4 linked regions of the Mytilus edulis genome follow. Each later gene encodes a partner of the first gene's protein in a complex. Links are inferred from orthologs where the notes say so. Each region holds a gene or a part of one and is shown in the gene's direction. Other genes may lie near its edges.

Region 1 (7,768 bases):
CACATTGAGTTTCCCTGGGACATGACGAACTACAATCTGTAGATGAAGTTGATTGCAAAGAAGAAGGATTTCTCTTGCTAAAAGATACAGCTCGTAACAATGAGTTCCCCCTTGGTTTCGCAAATAAGCCACCACAGTGGTGTTGTCCGTTGCTAGAACCAGAGATTTGTTCTGCAGTCGGGACTGAAAATGAGACAGGGCAAGAAGCACTGCCTTCATTTCTAGTATGTTGATGTGTTCCTTCAAAAGATCTGGAGTCCACACTCCTGACACTGAAAGACCTTCCAGATAAGCTCCCCAACCGAGGTTGGAGGCATCTGTGAACAGAGTCTGATTTGGGACTGGAGAGGACAGAAGTTGGCCTCTCAAAACGTTTGCTTGAGAAGTCCACCAAACCAAATAAGGACACAATTCCTGATGAATGATTGGAACTGGAAACTCCCAATTCTGTGTAGCTGAGAGCCAATGTTGGTGTAGATAACATTGAAGAGGTCGAATGTGAAGGCGACCAAGTGGAACAACATCGGCTAGAGAATTCAAAAGACCTAGCAGTTGTGAAAACTGGCGAGCAGTGACTGTTTTTTGAGATAGAAACAGATGAATTTTTGAACAAAGATTCTGAAACTTTTCCTGAGGAGGTCGAACTATGCACTGATGAGTAAGGTAATGTTCGCCTAGGAAAATAAAGTCCTGAGACGGAATGAGGTCCGACTTTTTCCAAGAAATGAGAAACCCCAGAGAGAGCAGCAATCTGATGACTACATCTGTATTGAGATAGAGTTTCTCGGGAGAAAGTTCCTTGATCAGTGAGTCGTCCAGATAAGAATGAATCTGAATAGCCTGTGAATGAAGTTGAGCAATTGCTACCTGCATAAGTTTGGTGAAAGCTAGTGGTGCAGTTGACAGACCAAAAGGGAGAGCCCTGAACTGGTAAACCCTTTTGTTCCAAACAAACCGAAGGAATTTGCGGTATGAATGGCAAACTGGGACATGAAAATAAGCGTCCGTCAGGTCCAGGGATGTTGTCCACATACCTGGAAGAATAGAAGCTCTTATTGAACGATTGGTCTCCATTTTGAAATGGGGAATAATCATATAAGAGTTGAGGATAGACAAATCGATGACCGGTCTCATTCCTCCGGTCTTCTTCGATACAAGGAAGAGACGAGAATAGAAACCTGGATCTATTGAAGATACAGGGACTTCCTCCACTGCCCTCTTTGTCAAAAGAGTCTCTACTTCTGTTTACAGAAGAAGAAATTTCTGTGGATCTTGAGTATTGGACAGTGGGATAGGAACAGGTGAAAGAGGTAGTTGTTCTTTGAATTGAAGAGTCAATCCCCCTCGAATTACTGACAGAACCCAACAATCTGAGGTAATACTTATCCATTTTTTTAGAAAATGAGTTAACCTCCCCCCTACTGGTAATTGAGAAAGAGGAGTTTTGTAGTACATCTCTGGATTGGGTTCTGACAGTAACGAACGAGGGGGCAACTTCCTAGGAAGAGGGGTTGGCCCTCTTGCCACCTCTCTTAAAACTGTTAGGTTTAGACCTAGGGATTGAAGATTTCTTAGGTTTATTACCTCCATCATTAGTGATTTTTCTCCTCTTCTCCTGAGAATTATAAGATGAGCCTCCAGCAGAAGAATAACTACCTCGCTTAGAATTATTTCCCGAAACAGATACATTTACCTTCACTGGGACTGGAGTTTGATTGAGATGTTTCTGTACCTCATCAAGTGGTAACCCAAATATCTTCTCATCCAAAGGAGACTTGATTAAAGCATCCTTAAGATTATCTGACACCTTTGCCTTCTCCAAAATTTCAGATCTTTTGGATTAGGTGCAGTTGGCGATGGAACCCATAATCAGCAATTGGGAGGCACCCAAAGCCTTGTCTACCTGTAATAGGAAAGGTTTGACCTCTGGTGGAAGAGAAGAGTCTTTAAGAACTGGGGCAACTGCTGATAAGAAATGTTCAGCAGTGCCTAGAACATGAGAAGCGTTTCTAAGAAGATTCTCTGTTTTAGACCAAACAGACTGAGTAAGACGCAGTCCATCGGCGGGTTTAGAAGAAATAGTAGATGATAACACTTTGTCACATTTGGGTACTAGTTTGCCCAAAGTAGAGTCAAAAATTTCATAATCCTTAAAGCGGAACTGCTCAGAGAATGAGGCCAGACCGAAACCACTAACCTGGGAAAATTGGGACTCATTAGACACAATCCCATCACTAATGATCTGCAAAGAGTTGGACATATGATTAGACTGTGGAAAACTACTATGAGATTTATTATCATCTACAGGCAGACCACATGAAGCCTCAAAAGTGGAGGTTAGTTTCTTGGGTCTGGGAGGTGACTGAAAAGGCACCTTGTTGTGTATAGTATCACATTTAAACGAAACTTCAACGATCCATAAATAACTCTCAGTAAAACGTTCAAAATAGAAAACAAAAATATGATGTTATAAACCAAACTTGATTTTCGACAGATAGCAGGTTTTGGAGCACTTTGAAAACGACAACTATGTGTAACTGAGAAAACGTGAAACGAGGACTACAACAATCATGGAAACCAGACAAAACGTTTAAGATTAATACAAAATGGCAAAATATTGTACAAACAATGCATAGAAATCTAGCTATTGACAGCATTTATTTTATGAGTTTTATGAATGCTAAATACTAAAATGTATATAGTCTATATATATATCTGCATTTCAGTCTGCAAAAGTGATGCAGACGCAAAAGAAACAAGTGTTGTGTTCAGTTCGTGTCTGCAGCAGCAGCACCTTTCTAGTGCTAGACTAAAAAATAAATCCAAAAAAGGCAAGGCACTGGTTTTGTAACGCTCGTCCATCAGTTTGAAGTTGCTGGGTGTTACTTTTTGTTTCAAAACTAAAATAAATTTTTTTTTTAAGTTTTAATCAGAATATCGATTTTTTTTATGGGTTTGTATGCTTTTCTTATGTGTATATATTATGGTGTTTTTTTTAAGAAATATATTTTAGTCTACCTATCAAAGAAAAACTTACTAGTATCAATTTTGATATTTATGTTTTTCTTTTTAAATATTTATAAAATACACAAGTTAAGAGACTGACTAGTTATTCTAAAAGTAAAGAATATCAATTTAAATAATTTTTTAAAGAAGACATTTTGGTATACTGTAGACATTCCTTATTAAAGTGTATGTTTCTATATTTTTTCTATTCTTAACTGCTACACTTCTATTAAAAACTTAATTAAGACCGGCAAAATAGCAAAATTCTATGTAAATCACCATTTTGCCGGAGCCGGCAAAATAGCGCCAAGGAGACTATTTTGCCGGAGTCAGTAAAATAGCCCCTAAGAGACTATTTTGCCCGAGTCGGCTCATAGGATTGAACAGATACACAAAGTATACAGTTTACATATACATATGTACAGCATTAATGTCATAAACTATTTCTAACATATAGAGGAGTTTGACATACAATTTACATAATTGGTAATAAAGGTACATAACAAACAATCAAGTGTTACGAATTCTTTCCGTCTAATAAAGGTATTTACCCAGATTATTTAATTCCTTAGAATGTCTTGCAGATAGTATTTGAACTAATTTGGTTTTCTATAACAATATGACTTAATATATTTACTTCTGACATTTACATACTTATCACACTCTAATATAACTTCGATTACTTTCTTATCACACATAGTACAAATACGCTCATTTCTGGAAGTATCGTCCAGTTTCTACAGTAAGTTGAATCAATGTGAATCTATAGATATGATATATGTTCTAGATTCGGGCAAATACAAACCGTGATCTAAAGATAGTTATAAATATTCCTTTTATTCACTTACAATTATAGATTGGAATCATTAATAACAACAAATTCTCGCATGCAGTATAGTACACGTAACAGGGATTCAAGAGTATGATCTCAGTATCTGCTCTCATCCCATTTTTCTTCATGAACTATTATTTTTATCGGTGAAATGTATGTATAGTTTTTATATATTATTACGTTATTTTTCAACTGTACATAAATTATTTTGATTTTGTTTCTATTTTCCTGGTTACCTTGTAAATTATCAAATTTCAATCATATAGCCGATGACCAGCGAACAATCTCTAATAAATGAAGGATCACTCAGGAATAGATTAATTACCTTAGCTGTATTTGGCAAAACTTTTCAGGAATTTTTGGTCCTCAAATCTCTTCAACTTCGTACTTTATTTAGCCTTTTATAAAAAAAAATAATTCGAGCGTCACTGATGAGTCTTTTGTAGACGAATCGCGCGTCTGGCGAAATATAGAATTGTATTCCTGGTATCTATGATGAGTTTATTTGCAACCCGGCCACTTGGTCGATGCCACTCGGCTGGTGGAGATTTATTTCCTCGAGTGTATCACCAGCCCAGTAGTCAGCACTTCTGTGTTGACTTGAGTTATCATTGATATGTTTATAATTATAAATTAAATGTTAACAAAACTTTGAATTTTGGAAAAACTAAGGCTTTTCCACCTCAGGAATAGATTACCTTAGCTGTATTTGGCAAAACGTTTGAGAATTGATGGTCCTCAAATCTCTTCAACTTCGTACTTTATTTGGCCTTTTATAACATTTTTGATTCGAGTGTCACTGATGAGTCTTTTGTAGACGAAACGCGCGTCTGGCGTAAATATAAAATTTTATATTCCTGGTATCTATGATGAGTTTATTTGAAGAAAGAAGCAACTAATCCGGAATTACATATTTCACCGTTATAGATCTTCAATTAACATCGATCAGACGTTTCCGGAGAAGACGACACTCATTCCTTGAAAAAAACAACCTTTGATGTTAAGGAAAACAAGCGTAGGTTTAATGCATTACGATAATATCACAAAAAATCGATCACCAATAATTTATTTAAAATAGATGATCGTATTATATATACTCAGTCCAGTTTAGTGTGGTAAATAATCTGCATATCTGCTCCTGAAAGATGCATATTTTTTTTTACAAATTACTGTCTTCATCTGTTCATACACCACTATGCTTATGATATATATCGTCATGTCATATAAATAAATAAATAAATAAGCTTTATTTAGAGTCGGCATGGTATATAAAACATAGACAAACATAAGCTCTAATGCGCTTTTAACCGACATATGTTTTCGTATCAACCACATTTCGTTTGTTTCGACTGCACACGCATACATTGTTGTGTGTTTTTTCTGTTTTTATATTTGGAACAACAGTAATACTACGTTTACAACCTGACAAATGTTTGACATATTCAAAGTCGCTTTTTAAGACATAAGAACTAAATAAATTAAACTTACCTGTTCAGCCATTTTTATTTAATGTTAAAATTAGGCAGTGTCTGCGCGTACCCGCATGTGGGTACGAATAGTCAAATTGACATTCGTAGGCTACGCGTACCCACATCCGGTTTTATAATAAAATGCAATCAAATCGGGAATTAAACGTGAAATATATACAGAAATTATCGATAATATGGGGATTTCGAGTAGAACGAGTGAAGGGTGATAATTAAGGGTATGACAAATAATATTTTCGAATTGTATTTATAAGTTTAATAATAAAATATAATAAACCTTGCAAATTAAATGCACACTGATTGAAAATGAAATATACCACTGGTAGACCTATTTGGCAAATGACCGCGATTTTTGGCAAATCTCCGCGGAACGGATAATAAGTAGAGGTTCATCGTAAATTTTTCGTTTTATAGTATATTTTGCGGTTCTCCGGAGATTTTCCGTGTCTCAGGGAATTATCCGCGTGTCTCAGGGAATTATCCGTTTGTCCGATTAAACTGGTGTGTATTGAGTCAGTGATAGAACCAGTGATGCGTGAGCGGCGGTTATTAATAGATCGTTGTATAATCCGTTATCTGTGAGCAACGGTTATTAATAGATCGTTGTGATTATATACACTGTTTACAGTCAGATAAAGATAACCGTCTTATTACCCTTTTCAGTGGAGAAATAAAAAGCGGTGGTTTTGATATTAAAGTTACTTGCAATTTAAATATCGAATTTAGTTCAATAAAGAATAATCTATTTAAATGTGACCAATGAACAGGAAAATGCACGTGGTAACTTTGCAATACTACAAATATGTTCACCTTACAAAATTCTTCTTTATTGTCATGTTAAGATAAATCAGTTCCTGTAAAAACAGTAAAAACAGAGTCTTGATTACTGCAGATGCCGTAATCCGACATAATGTCATACTGATTTGACACTTGTCTAGTGTGAGTAACACCTGCTGTGATATTTTTGCAATACAACATGGACAAGCGGAAGGTCGTAAATCAATCTGTTGATCCGAATATAACTTTACCTGTACAGATATTTATTTATGGAGGATATCATAGATACATTTAATAAATTGTATTGTATTCAATGGAGATAATTTAAATACACAATATAATTTATTAAGACATATTTGCAGGTATACATTGAACATGTTTTCTCCAACCAAGAAGGTTTGATATTGAATGCTTTTTTTTTTTTTTTTTTTTTTTTTTTTATCTAACTTCGATCTGATCAGTCTCGTAGATTATAAACAAGTAATTCGTTTATAGTTATACATTGTTACTCTTCTAACGTCTTTTTCTTTGTGCTATTAAAAAAAACCACAATTTTCCACATCAGATCGACATTTATATATATGTCGTGTACAAGTTGTGATTTTGTACAGGTTATAACATGTACGAAAGTATTGTACATGTTATAACTTGTATAATGGAAAAATACAAGTTATAACATGTACAAAAATACCTCGTACATGTTATAACCTGTACAAAATATTGCTTAAAAATGGTTTTAACTTGTACAAATTTGAAAACTAAAAATATGCTTCCATTATTGCAACAGATGTTATTAACCTCAATATGTGTAAATGTTTGCACCTGTCCTAAGTCAGGAATCTAATGTACAGTAGTTGTCGTTTGTTTTGTTTCTTGTTTCTCGTTTTTTTATATAGATTAGACCGTTGGTTTTCCCGTTTGAATGGTTTTACACTAGTAATTTTGGGGCCCTTTATAACTTGTTGTTCGGTGTGAGCCAAGGCTCCGTGTTGAATGCTGTACATTGACCTATAATGATTTACTTTTTTAAATTGTTGTTTGGATGGAGAGTTGTCTCATTGGCACTAACACCGCATCTTCCTATATCTATTGAAGGTGTCACTGTATCGGTTATGATAACGTTCAAGGTTGAAATGGTGCACCATTGCTTAAAATCAATATATACATTGCAGGGTTAGTCTTGACAACTCATAATAATCCGGCAACCTACAAAGATTTAGCAGGAAAATGAAAGTTGATAAGATAAAAAATGAGAATAAATTTTTGACTATCCTAAGACCCTCATTAAACACCTCTCCTGTATTCCTTACTTTGTGATCATTTTAAGAGGGGCAGGACCTTTTTGGGACGTCGGGATCAGGTATTTTTAAGCTGATAGCCAGGATAGATTTCTCTACAAATAAAATTGAGAATGGAAATAGGTAATGCGTGAAAGAGACAACAATCCGACCATAGAGCTGACAACAGCCGAGGGCCACCAATACCTGCTTTCAAAGCAGAGGATATGTATATCTAAAACATCAGAATGACATTCGCCTCATGCAATGATAGCTTGCAATTTATCAAAGAAATAATAATTTGAGGTATAAATTTACACAAGTCATACTGAAGGTAAAAAATGTTGAAAGTAGATTCAAAGATATTTATAATGAAGCGTGGTCCAATG
Region 2 (7,103 bases), on another chromosome or scaffold:
ATCCTCGTATGTGTGTGTCATTTGCAGTGGCTATCTGTGTACAATTATGATGAGGATTCCATTGACCACAGGTGAATTTGGAGTTACCTTTACTATCTAATCCTGTGGAAGCTGTCATCTGTTAACAGATTTTGAATGCAATACTTACACATTTTCAGGGTATGAAAAAATATTGTTCATTTTATACAATTAAATCATACTTGCTTTTTTTTGCAAAGTTTAGATCACTAAAAAATGTAATTTATTAACTGTAAAATTGGAAATTCCAAAGACTTTACAAGTAGCAAGACAAAGGGAGGTAATTCTGATCCTGGTGTGATTTTGCATAAGAAAAATAAATATCAGTTGCAAGACAAAATATAGAAATATTAGATTATGCTGTTAATGTATGATGTCAGATGATAACACAGTTTAGTTTTTGTTTAAAAAAAAGTTCTGACAGATTATTTTACCACAATTGAAAGAAGGGTTGAAATAAGTACCTTTGCAGTGCTTGAAGATGTGTCAATATCCCACAATACTATATGGTTATCTGCAAAGCCTATCACAGCTGAAGTATCTCCGGTTGGGTGCCATAAAACACTGTAAAAAGTAGGATATTGTTGATTTCATGTAAGTAAATACCAGCTCAGATATAACATTTGAAAAAGAGGCTGATGATTCTTTTACATTTCACAAGCAATTTAAATGTATATATTCAGGACAAGAAAATGTTAAAGTGATTTGAATGTTTACTCTGCTTTTTTGGAACTTTGTGAGGCCTTTTTTTTGTGTTATTATTTAAACGTGAGGAATACAAAATGTGCATTTGATATTCCAATCCTGGTATCTATATATGATGAGTTTATTGAGCTAGACAGACACACACAATCTGTGAGTTTGAACATGAATATTATTTATAATGCTTTTTTTCTAACTTTTCTGTGACTGGTTTAATACATTCATGATTTACCTCTGATTAAAACATGCACAAAATTATAAACAGACCTTTTCATGTCACCATATTCTGAGTTATTCAGGTGACAGACCAATCGCACAGCTGGATGTGCTGACTGGTCATCTGCTTGACCACTATCAAAATCAGATGGTAGTCTCCAAATAGCTGCCTTCATTTCTGTCTTTGATTCTGATGCTGCAGATAAAAACATATTAATGTATTATGAATATAAACACTGCTTGATACTAAAATGACATACAGAACTTTTAAATTTAATTTTCAACATACTAGTTCACAAGTCTGTAAAAGGATGTGTTATCCTACGTAGACATATTCTGACTCTGAGCAAACCAGTATTTGCTCTTACTGCTAACTGCTGTGTACTTATCAGACAAGCAGCAAATATGAATTTTCAAGCCTTTGATTTGCTGTGACTTGGGATTGAACTGAGGACCTTCCACACTCAAAGCAAGAATTCTACTACTTAGTACTCACTGAGGTGTTTATACCATTGAATGATGATGTACAGGTATAATCATCATCTTAGTTATTGTTTACTAATATTTCAAATACAATTTAGTTAACTCTTTATTTATCTGTAATTTTATAAAGAAACAGATGACTAGGTTGTCCTTGATGGTGATTTTGTATTTTTTTAATTTTAGTTTCTATGCGATACATGTATACCAGTCATGTCCAAGATCTGAAATAAGAGGCAGGATGGTAAAAAAAAAATCTAATCAACTTACTTTTTTATTATATACAGTCATTTTATTTTATTTTGATGACTTCAGGGATTAAGGTTCTTTGTCAATTTGATTAGATGCTTGTTATGTGCCCCTTTAATACGGTTTACCCATTCCAAATATTTAGCTTAACTTAAATTTACTTTTATTGTAACATGTTGTCATTAAGTCTTTATCAATGGTTGAGGCCTTAATATTCCAGATCTCTCCTTCAGGATGTAGGTAAATGTTTTTGTTAATGATGTTGTTTTCATCATCAAAATCAATGTGATGAATCTGGAAAATAAAATAACATCAGAATCATTTTTTTCCTGATGGGATATCATTCAAAACTCAATTAGACTTCACACATGTATCAGGTTATACTGAAAATTAGGTTTTCCAGTGAGGTTATGCATAATTATAAAACTGACAGAATCTTTAGGTATCATATCTGTTGTTATACAGACATGTAGAATAGAAGTCTCATTTTTAAAGGCCTTATGGTTGCCTATACATTCTATAATTGCTGATATCCACTTCATTTGAACTTTGGTGGATAGTTGTCTCATTGGCAATCATACCACATCTCCTTATTTTTATAGTGTTATTAAGTTTTAACTGATTAGCACAGATTTTATAACCTCAAGTGTACCAGAACCCATCAGGCATCTCATCATATTTGACCAAGTAAGCAATAGAAAATGAAACAAAGACATAGGATAGAACAAAGGTAGTGAAAAATAATCATGCTTATCAAAATTATTTCTTTGCCCAATTCAGTATATTAAGGTTTCAATAATAATACAATGTGTCAAGATATTTAAATAATGATTCATGTTTAATGAAGAATTTTGTTCCTGCTGATTTACCTGATTTTCTACTCGTAAAGACTGAGTTCCAACAAGAAACCTGATCTTATCAGTTTCTCCTGTTTGTGCAGTTAATGCTTTGGCCTGTTGAATGATAAAAAAAATATCATTCTATTAATAACTTAAATTTATAGAAGAGTTATACAAATAATAATTGTGTCACTGCGACTGCATGCACTATTTCTTTATGTTTAATATTGTTATTAAGCTTTTACATGTTAAACATGTACTCATATCATATTTCATGTGTCATGTTCATCATTTGTACTGATTATCATATTACATTGACGAATGACAACTCCAAATCAAGCACACCTTATTACTAACATGCTCTCTACTTCCCGCTAAAAAAATACTGTCTTACCTGTAAAATCTTCTTACACCTGTGCTCTAACTCTGAATTCAGGCATTGAAACCTGCTGATGGCCTTTGCTAATAGCAATATATATTTACAAGTTGTTTTCTATTTCTTAGATTTGTGGTTTGGATCTAAAGTTTTTGTTTTTAACTTTTTTTGTATTCTTTGAATACCATTTGTTTAATGTTATATTTATACTATTTGTAACTATCATTGCATATATAAATTTTTTGTGGGCACTTGCATGTATGAACTTATATACACCTTATCGCTATTTGTCCGCCATTACTGGATATCACACAGGTTCCTGTAAAATTATGACGTCATAAAACAAAATGGCTGATGCCACAATTAAAAAGTGATTGTTGTATGCGTCAAAAGTTCAAGCGGCCAGGTCAGCCGGGATTAGCGATAAGGTGTATTGTCCTATCCATATGCAAACTAGAATGTGTCCATAGAACATGTACAGTGGACCATGAAATCGGGGTCAAATCTCTTATTTTAACATTTTCGTCCCCATTCACAGGTTATGCCTGCCTCATATTATGAAAAAATAAAGGATGGCAGGTAGATGAAACTTACATAAATGAATCATGGATTAGAAATGAAAAAAATTCTTGAGACCCGATTTATATAGACTCAAGGACGTCAGTCGGCTCCAGGTGCAAAGAAGCAGTGCATCCATTTTGGACGGGCAACTATCCAATTTATATTTGGGACTAGTCAAAATATTTATAACGTCTTGGAAGGCTTTTTTGCTTTGAAAGAAAAAAATATAATAGCCTTGCAAGATGTCATATTCATATAATTTATTATTTGGACTAATTTGGGACGAGTTCTAAAGCGATTGATGCCTTACAAAACCAATTAGTATGAGAAGCTGACATTATGGTTATCTTCCAGGAAAAGCATTTTTTAACAGTTTTTATCAAATATAACGGAGATAACCTGAAATTCTAGCCCATAAATAACCGGCGATTCGTCGTCCATATCTGTGTGTCTGGTCCCTAAAATTATTTCTGTCGGACAGGGGATGGGGGGAAACGGAAACCAGTAGCCTAAGTCAATTTTCGGCAGTCGTAAAAAGTAAAACATAAAATTATTTAATTATTATTTTAAAACAAATAACTGTAGCTAATGCCAGACAAAATGTATTTGATGGCAATGTAATCTGTTTCAATACTCTTTTTTATTCCATTCATGAAATTATTTTTTATGACATTCTACACATAATTTGATGACGTATACACAGCACAGTGTCCGTTCGTCGAAAAAATTAGCAGGTTGATTTCAATTTACCCTTTTCTTTTATATATACTGTTTGCCCCTAACGTCTATGACAGAATGTCCTGTATGCTTATCCTTTCATACCCCATTAACATTGGAGTCTGAAATTATATAATGACAAATAGTAAGAATGGAAAATGGTGAATGTCAAAGCGACAACCTGACAACCCGACCATAGAGGGGTCTCATTTGGGCTGTCTGATCCCAGATCCCGCTTACTGTTTTGTCAGATTCCCGTATCCTGCTTATACTATGTACCTAAGCGATTCTCATTTTTTTGTTAATTTCCCGTATCCCGCTAGACCTTAATTCTAGTTTTCATGGCACAATAATTGACTTTCCCCTGTGACGTCACGTTTACAAAAAAATCGGCAATTCCACGTCACGCTTAGACCCCAATGAGACCCACCATAGAGCAGACAACAGCCGAAGGCCACCAATGGGTCTTCAATGTAGCGAGAAACTCCCGCACCCGTAAGCGTCTTTCAGCTGGCCCCTTAAAAAAATATGTATACTAGTACAGTGATAATGGACGTCATACTAAACTCCAATTATACACAAGAAACTAAGATTAAAAATCATACAAGATTAACAAAGGCCAGAGGCTCCTGACTTGGGACAGGTGCAAAATTGCAGCGGTGTTAAACATGTTTATGAGATCTCAACCCTCCCCTATACCTCTAGCCAATGTAGAAAAGTAAAAGCATAACAATACACACATTAAAATTCAGTTCAAGAGAAGTCTGAGTCGGATGTCAGAAGATGTAACAAAAGAAAATAAATAAAATGACAATAATACATAAATAACAACAAACTATTAGCAGTATCATACTATCATGAAATATATGAGAAGAACATAACCCGTGTCATGCCAACAACTGTTTTTTAAAAATAAATGTGTTTACTTTAGTTCCGATGCAAAGACCCTATAAGTAAATCAATATTAAGGATGTACTTAGGTGAGGTTTTGGATTTTTGTCAAATGTTCAGACTCCTTGGTGTTTTTCCATACAATACAATGTAAAATATTTTGCCCCATAACACCCATTTATTTTTTCATATAAGACTTAATAGCTCATGAAAGGTCATTTACCAACATTTTAGAAGATTCTTAATTTTCTTTCTTTTGTTTTGAGACCCAAATAATACCAATGCAAATATAAGGTAAAAGTCTGAGTCAGCCTTTTCCCGCCATATTTTAAATCTCAAATATCTCGAAACATCTTGTCGATATCGTCTGAAGACTCCTTATTGATTTTTTTGTCATTTAATAATTATCTTTACTCATTTTTGCCTAATAAGTTAAAAATGATAATAGAAAGATGGAAATTTATTCATAAAGCAAACTTGATGAGCAAAACAAGATCTACAAGAAGGTTTTTAGCAAGGAAATCATCTGGCGACTCTTTAAGAAATTGCCCATTAATAACAATTTTACATTTTTTGTTGAGTTTTTCCTTAAAGGGGCACTAGCTACGAGATTGATAAAAAATCAAATGTATTATATCTTATGCTCAATCATTAATGGAATGTAATTTGTATATTGTATAATATAAAATTAAATAGATCTAGAATAATCCGAATAGCAGGAGTTTGCTTAATTTATTTATATCTATATTTATGTTTACATTGCTTATATGGTCATCGGGACGGATGACTTTAGGGGTCAACTCGACAATTAATTAGATGGCGTTTAGACTAAAATACACACGAAATGAAGCTACATATTTTCATGCGGTGCCCTGTTAATTGTTTATTTTAGACTTTTGATATTTTGTATAAATGTTTTACATTGTTATAAATTAAACATGAGAATTTGATTAAAATCGGTGAACATGAATTTGACAGCTAGTGCCCCTTTAATGTTGAAATGGTAAGTGAACTCTTATTTAGAGTTTTGTGCTTTAATGACGATATTTATCAATATTTATCAATTTATCAATTTATTTTTACACATTTTGTATTGCAGCGGTACAATTTCTTAAGATATTTTAACTATTTAGTTCTAATCTGTCAGTGAGCTCATTAACATTACAAAAGTTTAAATTGTTTAGCTGAACATCTACATTTTTTGTAAATTCTACATTATTGATCATGACACACACATTTGAATAATATATTACATGTAATTATTTAAACACAAAACATTCATTTCAGTAAAGTAGATAATGGCTGATGATAATGTTGAAGAATTTTTAGAAGATGAATCTTTATCAGAAAAAGAATTCCACCTCCAGAATCCTGATGTAGTTATAAGGGGGACAACTCTTAGACACTCTGCTACAACAGATACTTTAGATTCTGTTTATCTAGAACCAACAGCAGTTGAGGAAGATGTTCAAGATATTATTACGGCCATACCAGATTTAGTTAAAGGTTATATTGAATAGTAATTTTAAAATGAGTTGAGATTTAATACTAGAAAAAAATAGAAAAAATATTTGAATAAGCTCTCGCCGCGATATAGCCTTTTTGTGCTAATGCAGCGTATAGCAAAGAACAATCAATCAATCAATACTAGAAAAAGAGTCTTAAAAGACAACTTGACTACAAGTTAACTACAAGATTTAACTTCCAATTCGCATTATATATTGTACATGTTGTGAACTTTAAATAATGAAATAAACATTTATCTTACCAAGACAAGTATTTGACAAACTTGTTAAATTTACATGAACCTGAAAAGTGTCCTCATTTCATGTCACTTTAAAACAAAATGACTATTAAACAAAGTAACATTATGCATACATGTACATGTATGTTAACTTAATTTTAACCTTTCACAGCCTTGAATTGTATTCAAATCTTGTGGAAATATACAGTTGATTCATCTTAATACATTGTTACAAGGTAAGGCACATTTTCTATGGATTGGTGAATATGAATTGATGAAGACTATCAGGTTCTGTCTTTAATGTTTTATT
Region 3 (7,683 bases), on another chromosome or scaffold:
GGGGTATCTAGTTTGAAAAATGTGTGGCGTGACCCGGTCAACCAACCAAGATGGCCGCCACGGCTAAAAATAGAACATGCAGTTTTTGGCTTATAACTCAAAAACCAAAGCATTTAGAGGAAATCTGACATGGGGTAAATATGTTTATCAGGTCAAGATCTATCTGCCCTGAAATTTTCAGATGAATCAGTCAACCCGTTGTTGGGTTGCTGCCCCTGAATTGGTCATTTTGAGGAAATTTTGCTGTTTTTGGTTATTATCTTGAATATTATTATAGATAGAGGTAAACTGTAAACAGCGATAATGTTCATCAAAGTAAGATCTACAAATAAGTCCACATGACCTAAATGGTCAATTGACCCCTTAAGGAGTTATTGCCCTTTATAGTCAATTTTTTTTTCTCTGTTACTAATGGGCAAAGTTCATTATAGATATAATTGTAAGAAGCAAGAATGTTCAGTAAAGTAAGAACTTCAAACACATCACCATCACCAAAATACAATTTTGTCATGAATCCATTTGTGTCCTTTGTTTAATATGCACATAGACCAAGGTGAGCGACACAGGCTCTTTAGAGCCTCTAGTTAAGAAAACATTTCAGATACATGTACATGTATAAAATTTTATGGGTGGATTGCTGATAAGCAATATAACCCATAAACTCATACTAAGTAGGACTGTCAAACTGTCATCTAAGATATGCTTTTTAAAAGCTTTGTTCAATTCATGCCTAACAAATGAGTTGAAATGTAAACAGTAATTGTTTACGTTTTCAGATAACATAGATGTCGAAAATATCACATTAGGCATTTAGTTTTAATTAAAGTGCAATAATGTTTGTCATATTTGAACCATTTTATTAAGCATGTCAACCATTTGTTTTTAATAAGCAGTAGTCATAGTTTTATTATGATCTCTTATATTTATTTAAAAAATAAATAAAATTTGATTTCCTGATAAAATGTGAGTTGTTCTTTTTGACTCCAGTCATTGGAAAAGGATAAAGGATCACTTTATTTAACAGAATGTGATGAAGTTAAGCAAGTCACCAAAGATTACTGGTTTATGTCAATTACTTGGAGTTTTTTACAATAAAATTAAATGTCACAGAAATGTAGACAGTGGCATGCATCTCGCTGGTTTTGGGTCAAATTTGCTTAATTGAGATGCAACCATAGTTTTAGAAAACAATGTAATTGAAAAAAGTAAAAATCTAAATTAAATTTTAAACCTAAAAAGTAAAAATCTAATTTAATAATGTAAATCATGCTATTGCTGAGGCAGTTGCTCAATTAATACCACATATGATGATAAATTTCATTTACAAACTGGCAGCTATGAGATATTGTATAATGCTGTAAGATGTGTTACAACACCAAAAAAGCAATCAATTCATCAACAAGCAGTTAGTTCCTGACAGTGACAGAAAATTTGTCCAGAAGTTAGGATGTCTATTTCTAGAAGTAAGCAATCTCTCTCTTTATAGTGAGAGAGACCACAATGTTTCCATACTTACAACTGTTTTTTATGAAGCTTTTTTGATGGATTCTGGATACGGAAAATTGCTCAATTATAATGCGAGATTTAAATTATTTTTTTTTACATAAGAATGTTTGTTTCATGAATATTAATCAGTTGTTGGTTCATATGACTATAGTCATTGTACAGAGTTAGTATATATGAATCTTCTGCTAAAATCGTTAAGTCATTTTTGTTTAAACTACTTGAGAAGGACAAGGTATATTTATATGGCCATGTAAGTTTAAAAAAATAAAATAAAAATACTGTACAATCATTATTAATAGTTCAACTTGAACTATGTCAAGTTCTACTTCTGTAATCACTCAACCAGTCAACGTTGAGGTTGTGACTTAGAACCTTCTTGTGCAAGTAATTTTGACTCCAATCTTAATTGACAAGGATTATCAGTTTTACTATTGAAGGTCAGTGGTTTTCTCAAGGCACTCCGGCTTAATCTACTAATAAAAACTGGCCGCAACCAAATAGCCCCACAGAGGCCCTAAAGAATGGCGTTAAAACATCAACAATCAAACAATCAAGTTAAGAAAATTGAAATATTTGTCAATATAAAAACATAGAGATGTGGTATGATCATCCACGGGAAAACTATTTATCGAATCCCAGATGAAGTAACTGAGCAATTATATGCATCAATACAGCTTTCAACAATGAGAAAAACTCAAGCTTTGATGACACAATTTGTCTCTGATTTCATAAATGGGACATTCTACAGCAGAGTTTTATAATTTTAGTAAAAATAGGCTAATTTAAGAACGTTTGTATAATTTCACCATTTTGGTTAAATTTCATTTACTAGTAATTTTTAGCTGTACAAGACAAGGAATTGGTTTACATTTTTAAACAAAACTACAACATTTAATAAATAATACATTTATTCAACATTTGCAAACTAGAGGGTGTATTAAGTACATTTTACTTTAATATCAATTTGACCCAAACCTCTTCTTAGTTCTATACCAGTTTATATTTATCAGGAAGATGATGTTTCTTCCAATGATTCCATTGTAACTCACATAGCAACAGAAACCAAAACTGACATATAAACAATAACTCTGACCAAGGATGTATAACTAACAATGACATATAACTATCTAATATAAGTCCTTGCTCTTATTGAGGAAAGTGGGGGATCTGTCAGAATTTTGGAAATCTAAATTGTGATATACATATCTTCTAAATTAAACTTTTATGTTATCATCATTTCATAGAACTTTCATGGATCAATTAAGGCATACAAAGTGCAAACTGGGATGAAGTTAAGCATTTTAATAAGAATAATAGGATAAAGGACATTTTATTTTCAATTTACATTAAACAGTCATCCAGCATGATCATAAAAAATAGGTTTTTTTTAATAAAATTATCAAGATTCAAGTCTACCGGTAATTTACAATGACCAATGCACACAACTATTACAATGATCAAGGTAGAGTGATCAATGCAGACAAATATTACAATGACCAATGCAGACAAATATTACAAATGATCAATGCAGACAAATATTACAATGATCAATGCAGACAAATATTACAATGATCAATGCAGACAAATATTACAAATGATCAATGCAGACAAATATTACAATGATCAATGCAGACAAATATTACAATGACCAATGCAGACAAATATTACAATGATCAATGCAGACAAATATTACAATGATCAATGCAGACACAGTACATATTACAATGATCAATGCAAATATTACAATGATCAATGCAGACAAATATTACAGTGATCAATGCAGACAAATATTAAAGCGATCAATGCAGACAAATATTACAGTGATCAATGCAGACATATATTACAATGATCAATGCAGACAAATATTACAATGATCAATGCAGACAAATATTACAATGATCAATGCAGACACAGTACATATTAAAATGATCAATGCAAATATTACAATGATCAATGCAAATATTACAATGATCAATGCAGACAAATATTACAGTGATCAATGCAGACAAATATTAAAGTGATCAATGCAGACAAATATTACAGTGATCAATGCAGACATATATTACAATGATCAATGCAGACAAATATTACAATGATCAATGCAGACAGATATTACAATGACCAATGCAGACAAATATTACAATGATCAATGCAGACAGATATTACAATGACCAATGCAGACAAATATTACAATGATCAATGCAGACAAATATTACAATGATCAATGCAGACAAATATTACAATGATCAATGCAGACAAATATTACAATGACCAATGCAGACAAATATTACAATGATCAATGCAGACAAATATTACAATGACCAATGCAGACAGATATTACAATGATCAATGCAGACAGATATTACAATGACCAATGCAGACAAATATTACAATGACCAATGCAGACAAATATTACAATGATCAATGCAGACAAATATTACAATGATCAATGCAGACAAATATTACAATGATCAATGCAGACAAATATTACAATGATCAATGCAGACAAATATTACAATGATCAATGCAGACAAATATTACAATGATCAATGCAGACAAATATTACAATGATCAATGCAGACAAATATTACAATGATCAATGCAGACACAGTACATATTACAATGATCAATGCAAATATTACAATGATCAATGCAGACAAATATTAAAGTGATCAATGCAGACAAATATTACAGTGATCAATGCAGACATATATTACAATGATCAATGCAGACAAATATTACAATGATCAATGCAGACAAATATTACAATGATCAATGCAGACAAATATTACAATTATCAATTCAGACAAATATTACAGTGATCACAATCTGATATATTAAAAAAAGATCCCATGATCATGCTTTGAATACAAGGATCTGACAACACTCACTTCTGAACTCTGTTCTGAATATTATAAACATCAGCATATTAAAAATACCAGGCTTAAAACTATTGAAGATGTGTTTCATTGCGACAAGATCAAAGGAGTCAAAAGGCTTTTAAACAGCAGAAAGTGTAGAAGAATAGTCAGACTTTGCTTGAACAAAGTGTCTGTATTTTAATAAATTTCAATGATCAAAGCAATACAGACGAATTTTATGAATTGATTGCATTGCAAGCTCGGTAATAGGTAATGTATTTACCTCCCCTTTTCAAGATTATAATGCGCATGATCGTAAATATGGCAGATGAAATCCAGATCGTCATGAGCAAAAAACGACGACTCATCGATCAATAACAGCCTTGTAACTTCTTAAATATATAGAAATAATGGCACAGTGCAAACAGAATGCACAAGAGTTTGTGCAGAACACGTTTAATCCACATGTTGCTGTGTTATGCAGCCGTGATGCGGAAGTCCTATGTCAGAAAAATAATTTGACATTTGTGGAACTTGTTCAACCTTTTTGCCGGTTAACGTCAGAAGGTGAATCTTCTTTAGTATATTAACCACACTTATATATGCTTTGTCTTAACTCTGAAGAATGATTCCGTTTCATTTAGATAAGTTCTTGAGCATAATCAGTAAAAGGGGGCGGACCTTATGTCATACTTAGTCCCTATGTTTATTATTTTGCAATATCAAAACAGCATGACATTACTTTTCTGTTAAAAGTTGGTCAATGACAACTGCAGCTGCAAAAGGAATTATCACACTGCACGCTTTATGTATCTTTCTTACCCGTTATATTTTAAATCAATTTTCAAAACTGAAAGTGACACACATACATCACTTGTCAAACTGACTGCCCTTATAATTATTAAATCCAAAGATGAGAAGTAGTTGGAAGGGTATACAGTTTATCTGTTGGATACTTAACCCAATACTTTGTCAAGTTGCAGCTACTTGAATAAATGTACTGTATTGACAGTAAATTGAACCTAATGATGATGGTTACTTAGTGGTAGTCCAAATAATTATGACGTCTTGAAAGGCTATTATAATTTTTTTCTTTGACGCCTAACTTCGACCTCAATGCTGAAGCCGCCATTTTCGGTTGGACTTTGAAAGCATATTTTGCTCTCAACTTTGAGACCCAATTGAGCCAGCAAATTTTCATTGAAAGCTAAAAAAAATTGCATACATAAAGATTCTTACCTTTTATGTGTTTGTTACTGTTAGTGCAAAATATTTCAAATTAATCCCTTCAAAAATAATAATATAAGTAACAGTTCCATCTGAGGCGGGAACATGTCGACTGCATTTTTTAAAACGTTTTTCTGATTTCTTTTTATGAGATTATAAAATAATTTTTACACCAAACTCAGACCCGAATTTCTGGAACCTTTGTTAAACATTATCTGGAAATTCAGGTCCGTCAAAATGTACCGAGTTTGGTTCAAAAATATGTTTTATACTCCTAAAATGAAGCATCTTGAGGAGAAATCAGCTAAACGTTTTAATAAAGCAGTAAGTTCCCTCTTAAAGTCCAACGGAAAATATGAGTTTGGCGTTATGACGTCGCACTAAGGCGTCAAAGAAAAAAATTATTATAATAGCCTTTCAAGACGTCATAATTATTTGGACTAACTTAGTGGTAGAAGAAGAAGGGAATTGGCTGGAAATTTATTGTCTATGAAACAGAATATGCCCTGTTCTAATTTTTGATTATAATGGGTTTTGAATTATATGTAGCATAATGCTAATAATGAAGGAATTAAGTAAAATTGAAAATGGAAATAGGGAATATATCAAAGAGACCACAACCTGACCAAAGAGCAGACAACAGCCGAAGGCCACCAATGGGTCTGCAATGCAGCATGAAAATCCTGCACCCGGAGATGGTCTTCATCTGGCCCCTTAAAATTGAGTACAAGTTCAGTAAAAATAGAAGTGACATTTAACTCCAAACTATATAAATGGGCAAAAATTTAAAAAACATTAAAAAAACATACAAGACTAACAAAGGCCGGAGGCTCCTGACTTGGGAATGGTTAAAAAATGTGGTGGGGTAATACATGTTTTGTGAGACCTCAACCCTTCCCCTTTACCTCTAGCCCATGAAGTCTCAGTCTGATGTTAGAATAGGTAACAAAAGAAACTATAAAAAAATGATAATGATGTATATATAAACAAAGGGCTACTAGCAGTTCCTGACATGCCAGCTCCAGACCTCAATTAAACTGAGTGAAAGATTGCAACACTCTCCTTGTGAAATACTTGTGCATTCTATGGCAATTCTTCCTGACATTATTGGGCTTGAATACTTTGATAGTAGAATCTTAACTGGAAATTTTGATTACATTTAAAACCTTCAAATTGTTAATTGTCAAAATATCATTAAATTTATTTCTACTGATAACGAATGCTTCATGTTTATTCAATCATTAGGACTTATGTACACTTCAAATATCTACTAACTTTTATTCAATATAGTGAATTTTTGAAACAAAAGGGAAAAAAATTAGTGGAATGACCCAAATATATTACTCAATTTATTTCACTTGACTGGGCCGAGTTTATCCAGTTCGCTCATAATAAACCAGTCCATCTATACATAGGTGTTTTAGGATACACTCATCAATGCATTGTCCAGTCATTCTTTTGTAAATTCCTTTGAGGTCACTGTTAGGTGATTAGAAATCAGTAATAACTATAACGGCAATCATCGTAATCACACACATTTTCAAATCGACTGTCCTCATGCAAATGAAATAACAATGAGAGAAATGTATATTCAAAAATGTATAACTAGTGTTTGTATACAAAATTGGTGTTTTAAGGCATTCCTTACTTTTACTATAATTATTGTTTACCTCAATGTAGACTAATAAATTTCAAAATGATAAGATTTGAAGTATTTGTATGACAATGAAGTTCTATTTACAAGATTAATATTGAGAAGGACATATTGCAGGTTGTAAGCACTTTAGACTGTAGGTAACTTTTCACACTGCAAATTTCCATAAAATACCATTATAGGAATAATAATTCATAATACAATTCTGTGTCATTTGCATCATTTATTTAAAGCAAAACAAAATCTGTTATAATTAAAATTTTGAACAAAACTGAAGAGTTGTTTTATTCAGGTGTAATAAAATAAACCTTACTCTACTAGTAGCATGGTAGTCTATATCAATCTATTTAGTTAAAGATCTTTCTTAAAAACATTTTTTAAATTATAAGACTATTAAAAAAAATCTGTAGGTCAAATAAATGATATAAAAACTTC
Region 4 (7,159 bases), on another chromosome or scaffold:
TTGCAAAAGACTTACACTTCTGATTCATTTTTTGACAAAACATATATGATATGAGGCTGAGATTCCATTTCTGATCCTTCACCTTGCATGGATATGAGTTTTTCAAGGTCAACCTCAGTAACAGAATCTGTTGGTATGGTGATGACCTGTCCAAGGTCATCTTCATTTTTAACTGCATATTCAAAATGTCCAGAGCCATTCGTAGTTGCATATTCTGTTGGCATGGTGATGACCTGTTGATGTTCACTTTCAGTTAAAGAGGTATATTCTGTTGGTATGGTGATGACATGCCCTTCATTCCCATCCATATATTGCAACATATCCATAGGAATTGTTATGACTTGTGTACCAATGTCATCAATGTCTGCAGGCAAAATAACCTTATGTTTAAGGTCATTGTCTGTTATTGCCATGGCAACAGTATTTTCATTGCCATCAATTGTGTTTTCTGTTGGCAAAGCGATCACATGTTCTTTAATATCTCCATCTGTTGTTGCTATGACAACAGCATCTTCAGGAATAGAATTAACATCTACATCAGACATAATGGAAATGTTTGACTGTTCACAAGACTTTACAGGTAAAATATTATGCTGTGTTTCTCCAGAAATTAAATAAGTTACATGTGTTTCCCGACCTATTCCTACAAAAAAAGACAGTCATCAGTTTTGTTCAAATTGATTATCATTATTAACTCGTCCTAGATACCAAGATTGAAATTTTTCACGCCAGAAGCATGTTCATCTCAGCAATGCTCTAAAAAAAGAAATTTAAAAATGCAGATATTTAGTAACAAGTTATAAAAGCATTGAAAGCCCAAATTTATTTATTGTCAAGATAAACTGTGTAAGTTAGTCATTATATTCAGCTGCTCTATGTCAATGATGGCTGCATTTTTGAACGAGAAAATCTAACAGGGACATGGGAGAGGGAGTGAATTATTTGAGTTATTGTAAACATGGTAAGAGTTAAAATTTCAAAAGATTTCAATTTTATGAATGTATAAACGTTTACAAAATTATGTTGTCATTGTTTATCATCTGTCTCTCAGTGTGTATAGCAAGAAAATATATGCAAATTAAGGTGGTACCTAACACTACAGGGAGATAACTCTATAAAGTCAGCTTAACGTTTTAATTACGTTGTGTTGTAAAGGGAATATTAAGCTTCTCAATGATCAAAATTGGTGTATGTCAAACTGCTATATAACCAGTGTAATTTTTCTGACAAAACGGTTGGTTCAAAATCTTTGAAATTTTTATATTTTTGTTAAAGGGTCAAAGTAAATACATTTGTACTTTGACAAAATTTTATGAAAATTAAACATGTCAAATCAATTTTAGTGAAAGTGTTGGGTACCACCTTAAGAAAAAGGAATGTGTTTGAGGACTCGTCCTACTAACACAATAAAAAGTAACCATGGTAACTATCTTTACCAGAATGGAGATTTTCTGTTGTGGAATTACTATCGTCACCATTAATACTGTTCATAATATTTGAGCTGTCCATAGTGAAATTAACTATTAAATGATTCTCATTTCCATCCATTCTAAAAAATAAATTAGAAACATTATACAATCATGACAATAGCTACAAAAATAAGGATAGAAATATGGCGTTATGTCATAAATTTGCTTCATTAGAGTGCAATTTGTGATTTAAAAGTTATCAGTAATGTCTAGATGTCCAATACATGTAATATTTAAACAAATTAATTGATTGTGCCACAAAACTTTCCAAGTCAGAAGCCTGTTATTCAGTGGTTGTTGTTTGTTACCATACATGTTTATCATATATATATTTATTTTTGTTTGAAGTTTTTTTGGTTTTGTACGTAAATCAGGCTTTTGTTGTTTTTCTCATTTCAATTGTTTTCCGTTTTGTTATGTCATGTATGTGAAATTTAAAAAAAAAGATGTGATATATTGCCAATGAGACAACTCTACGCAAGAGACCAGATGACACAGAAATTAACAACTACATGTATAGGTCACCTTTTGAAACCTGCAAATTAGTATGGGTTTGACTTATCATTAATGACTATATATTCACTGACCTACAGTACATGTACATGTGTACCTTATATCTACTCATTTGTTTTCTGGTCATGCTGCCAGGTGGATAGAGGTCTCATTGGCAATCATACGAGGATTCATACATCTCCTTAGTCTATGTTTTGAAAACTTTCAGGTTTAAATTTCAAAATACTGTAATGTCGATGTTGATTGTCTTTGTTTATTCAACATGTTTTAAAAACAAGCTTGGACGCTTAAGACATAGTAGGAAGGTGTCACAGCAAGAAAGACAAACAGCTGAAGGACGCTTCCGGGTGCGGGAATTTCTCGCTGCATTGAAGACCTGTTGGTGACTTTCTGCTGTTGTCTGTTCTATGGTCGGGTTGTTGTCTCTTTGACACATTCCCCTTTTCCATTCTGAATTTATTTGAAGGCGTCATAGCAAGGTGGGTTGTAATAAAGGAACCTTGATGAAGAAGGGTACCTTTGCAATTCATGAAAAATATCGGTAAAAAATCTTACCAAAGGATGTTAACCATGTCAACGGTAATATTTAGTGCATTTTGCTAAAATATACATTTTCTACTTGACATGCTTGATAACAAAAATCAACTGATTTTGACAAATCACAATCAAATAATTATTTGAGACCTCTGACCTGGGATCAGTATATCTAAGGGAAATGATTCTGATCATGCATAAAGGCTTTTCAGTATAAAATTAATAAAGTACCGAGCTACATGAAACTTTACTAGATTAATAGATTTTTGAAGCATCACACTGCAAAAGCATTGAGATTGCTCAATAAATTATCCATATTAAAACAAACTCAACAAATATAAATTTTATTCTAATCATTCTAATGTAGGTATATTTTGTCATACATGTATAAAATTACCAATATACATGTGATTTCTTTGATGTAAAGTGCCATCAGCGCCATTTTATTATTACCCTTTTTGCATTTTGTACTCTTCTGTGATGAAATTAATGTGAATTATGACAATTTTGATGTGACAGAATGCAATTTAGGTGCACTGGCATTTAATGAAATCAGTAGTAATTAGTCAATGCGAGAACATATTTTACAGATGTCGGTTTCTGTATGGTGTTATTGATTAACTATGACTTGTTAATGAAATCGGCTAATATTAGGTAACTACATGTAGTGTCAAGTCTCTTCAATATACAATGTATATGTTCCTGCTCCGACAAATAGCGATATAATGGATATTTTGATATATCACTTTATTTATTTTTTTACCAATTTGACACTAGCGTAAGATGAGAATGACTGTTTAACTCTGACATCAATAAAATTGAGAATGGAAATGGGGAATGTGTCAAAGAGACAACAACCCGACCAAATAAAAAACAACAGCAGAGGGTCACCAACAGGTCTTCAATGTAGTGAGAAATTCCGGCACCCGGAGGCGTCCTTCAGCTGGCCCCTAAACAAATATATACTAGTCCAGTGATAATGAACGCCATACTAATTTCCAAATTGTACACAAGATTGTACACAAATTGTACACATTTCAAGAATGTATCACAGCAAAAAATTAAATTGGCCTTTTTTATTTTAGTTAAATTTCGGGGTACTTGGGTAAGGTTGTTTTATACCTACAGGAACCGTAGCTCTCATGTCCTTATATTTTTTTTTCTCTATTTGTGGACTATCCGCAAAATAAAAAAAGATATATAGAAAGGACCATAAAACTATTAAAAGATACGGTTCCGCAGCTAGATGGTTTTACTGACACATTTAGGTTTTAAGGTATGAAGGTTTAAAAATCGCTTTATGTACAAATAAGTTTTAGGACTGTTGCTGGTGTTTTGTAGTGGTAAGTATATTTAGAGTCATTGTCATATTGATTAGATAAAGGGGTACATGATCTCAGGTGCTCCGGAAGGGTAGGAAAATCGTGCTCCTAATTTGGCACACGTACGACTGATCTATCTGGGTAAAACATTTCAAGAAAATTCATTTCCTGAAAACAACTTTGGTGGGAATAAATGTTTTTTTTTAGTCATTGTGAATGTGAGCAAAATGCATATATGGCCATACTTTGTATCAGAGAAAAAATAAACAGAGAAAATTGTCACCGGAAGTACTGTCAAAATAGTAAACCCCGGACACGTTACGGAAAATGGCTGTCTCACGAGAGGAGGCGAGACTTTGAGTTTGATCCTGATATTTTGCAGAAATGAAACGTAGCTGACGACAATTCTTAATATGTTCCATGTATGTCAGTTGATAAAGTAATGATGACTCACTTAGTTGAGTTTTGAACTTGTAGAATAATCAGATAAAACCCCTGTTCGTCTGACAAAATCAGACATATCAAATGAGACATTTGTCAAATTTTATAGGTGGAAATCAAACAAATTTAAGTTATTATTAATTTCACTTTGATGTATATATAGATCTGCTTAACAACCTTTATACCTATACCTGCGCTATATCTTTATGAATATACCTGCTCCATGATCCTTCTGATTATACCTGCTCCGTGTATTTATGAACATACCTGCCCCGTATCTTTATGAAATGCATATGGGTCTCATTGGGGTCTAAGCGTGACACGGTATTGCCGATATTTTGTAAGCATGACTCGCGAAAGTCAAATTATTGTGTGTGAAAACTGGAAATGAAGTTTAGCGGGACAAGGGAAATTGCAAAAAAAATGAGAATTGCTTACGTACATAGTGTAAGTGGGATACAGGAATCTGACAAAACAGTAAGTGGGATCCGGGATCAGAACCCCCCAATGAGACCCCCCTATGAATATACCATGTGAACCTGCTCTGTATTTTTCTGTTTACTCTTTGCCTATGTATATAACTGTTCTGTATCTTTATAAACATACCTGCTCCAGTCCATATCTTTATGATTATAACTGCTCCATATCTTTATGCAGATACCTGCTATGTATCTATGAATAAACCTGCTCCATATCTTTATGAATGAACCTGCTCTGTATCTTTATGAATACTCATATACCTATACCTATGTATGTAACTGCTCAGTATCTTTATTAATATACCTGTTCCGTTTCATTATCATGCATATATCTGCTGACCTCAGATGTGGTACCTTTCATAAATCTACAAGTTTAACGCAGGTCTGTGTAAATACAAGTTGTTCTTTGAGTAATTAACTTTTCAAAACACTAGTTTATATAGCAAATGTATAGCATGTATAGATAGGGGATTAATAAAGGAATCCAAAGAGCAAAAAAAATACATAGGTCACCGTGCTTGTTTTCAAAATATAAGCCATTGAAATTTTGGCGGGAAAATATTCTCTCTTGACTTTTCATAGCTTTATCATTGACAAGTTGAAGTTCTCAAAAATTGTTAAAAAGTAATTAAAATTTTATAAGAATTTAACAGATGGCTTATCATTATCAATGATTATACATGTAAAAGATTTACAAAAAGAAAAATGGGGGTCACCTGGCAAATTTTTTCAAGGCATTCAAATGGATAAAACCAGAGGATTCTGAAAATCTGACAAAAAATCTAAAACATGACAAGCCAGCTTCCTTAATATTGATAGGATGCAATCCTTTATTCTGTTTTCCATTAAGATCATACCTGCCAACTGTCACTATTTGCATTGGATTTCTCCGATGAAAGCTCCCAAATAGATATTTTAAAAGAGCAATTTTGTCCAAAATTTTAAACAAAACAGTTAATTTTACAATGCTTTAAAAAGTATGAATAAGCCAAAAAACAACAATAAGATACATGTACATTTGAAGATCCCCTTGAAGTTTTTTTAAGACGGTAAGAGCCATCTTGCACGTAAAACACCCATGAACATTTTGAAAAGTTGGCAGGTACATAAAATTGAGAATGGAAATGGGGTATATTCATAAAGATACATGTATGTATACATGATGTAAGATCTTTCCTTTAACAAACGAATTCAGAGGGGATTTTGGGGTAAACATATATATATTGTATTGCGCAAGGAGAAAATTGTTAAAGATAATTTATAAAATGAGGACCTGTCTGTACGTATTAGCCTATGGATCAGTTTTGAAAAAGAGGTGAATGTGCAAAGGGGAGGTGGCACACATATTTTGAGTTACAAAAATGAGTTAGTTGTTCAGAGGTGATACCACTCTGATGCATTCTCAGTGATATCATGGATAGAGGTCAGACTCTTTTCCAACAGATCAGGCCAAATAAAAATATATGTGTGGTTCCAGTGACCCTACCCTCCCTACTTTTTCGTCTTGAAATTAGCCTACATGTACCCGAAAGATTTTATTGTCATTTTTCATTAAGCACTGTTAAAGTCAGAATGATGCTTCCATAGACTCAATGTAAAAAAAAACACCATAAAATAAAAATAATCCCTACCTACCTACATGACCTACCCTAACTTTTTTTCAGATGTAACTGGAACCACACATACTATTTTATTTGGCCTCATCATTTAAAATTATGAAATTTGGTATGATTGCCATGAATAAAACATGTAAAACATTACCATCCTCCAGTGTTCAAATGATTTATATGTTAATAATAATAGGTCACTGTTTGACAACATGATCAAGCTATAAAGAGGAACAGAGATGACAAAATTTTGAAAAATCAAGTTATGAAAACAACTGCCTGATTTGTGGTAAAAATACTAAATTAAAGAAAACACATTAAATATATATAAATAACAGTTCTTAGGATATAAAACTCCAAATTCAAATTAAGACATAAATTGACCAATCAAATAACTTAAGAATTTCAGTGGTCATGCACAAAAATTATTATACATGTCAAGTTATCTAAGGACAGAAGAAAGATACAATGTAAGGGGAGATAATTCCGACTTTTTAATGTAAGAAAAATAGGCAAATATTATTAGAAATATAACCCCTGACCATGCTGACTGTATGGTATAGAACAATTATTGATTCAAAAGGGACTATCAATTTACCAAGAAATGGCTAAATTTTTTTTAAATTCCTTGTTTATAATTATTACAAATTGTGCTAGTTTATCTCGGTCAATTTATCATCAACATGATTTACATGATTTGTGTGCATGGTCTAAAGTATAATCATGATTCAATGTGTAAAAGCAGTATGAGAAAAAATTGTAGTATCCAATCCCTGCCTCATCAAAAACAAGCT

The links.
Region 2: trafficking protein particle complex subunit 11-like (region 1) and trafficking protein particle complex subunit 12-like share a complex: the UniProt entries of both Homo sapiens proteins name them as parts of the multisubunit TRAPP (transport protein particle) complex. The link is inferred for Mytilus edulis from reciprocal best matches to the Homo sapiens genes TRAPPC11 and TRAPPC12.
Region 3: trafficking protein particle complex subunit 11-like (region 1) and trafficking protein particle complex subunit 8-like share a complex: the UniProt entries of both Homo sapiens proteins name them as parts of the multisubunit TRAPP (transport protein particle) complex. The link is inferred for Mytilus edulis from reciprocal best matches to the Homo sapiens genes TRAPPC11 and TRAPPC8.
Region 4: trafficking protein particle complex subunit 11-like (region 1) and trafficking protein particle complex subunit 9-like share a complex: the UniProt entries of both Homo sapiens proteins name them as parts of the multisubunit TRAPP (transport protein particle) complex. The link is inferred for Mytilus edulis from reciprocal best matches to the Homo sapiens genes TRAPPC11 and TRAPPC9.

What each region holds. Positions count from the first base shown.
Region 1 is NC_092349.1:48,629,512-48,637,279, forward strand, and holds the start of trafficking protein particle complex subunit 11-like, read left to right. Parts: upstream 1-4,742; 5' UTR 4,743-4,853; intron 4,854-7,768. UniProt on the Homo sapiens protein: Involved in endoplasmic reticulum to Golgi apparatus trafficking at a very early stage.
Region 2 is NC_092344.1:109,874,800-109,881,902, reverse strand, and holds the start of trafficking protein particle complex subunit 12-like, read left to right. Parts: upstream 1-4,082; 5' UTR 4,083-4,175; intron 4,176-6,336; 5' UTR 6,337-6,347; coding exon 6,348-6,555; intron 6,556-7,103. Other genes in the region: EARP and GARP complex-interacting protein 1-like, read right to left, coding at 1-118, 483-582, 988-1,132, 1,827-1,959, 2,535-2,618, 3,841-3,882. UniProt on the Homo sapiens protein: Component of the TRAPP complex, which is involved in endoplasmic reticulum to Golgi apparatus trafficking at a very early stage.
Region 3 is NC_092348.1:42,862,555-42,870,237, forward strand, and holds the start of trafficking protein particle complex subunit 8-like, read left to right. Parts: upstream 1-4,667; 5' UTR 4,668-4,777; coding exon 4,778-4,934; intron 4,935-7,683. UniProt on the Homo sapiens protein: Plays a role in endoplasmic reticulum to Golgi apparatus trafficking at a very early stage. Maintains together with TBC1D14 the cycling pool of ATG9 required for initiation of autophagy. Involved in collagen secretion.
Region 4 is NC_092355.1:34,285,955-34,293,113, forward strand, and holds the start of trafficking protein particle complex subunit 9-like, read left to right. Parts: upstream 1-4,142; 5' UTR 4,143-4,260; exon of another isoform or gene 4,261-4,277; intron 4,278-7,159. Other genes in the region: uncharacterized protein, read right to left, coding at 16-643, 1,437-1,548. UniProt on the Homo sapiens protein: Functions as an activator of NF-kappa-B through increased phosphorylation of the IKK complex. May function in neuronal cells differentiation. May play a role in vesicular transport from endoplasmic reticulum to Golgi.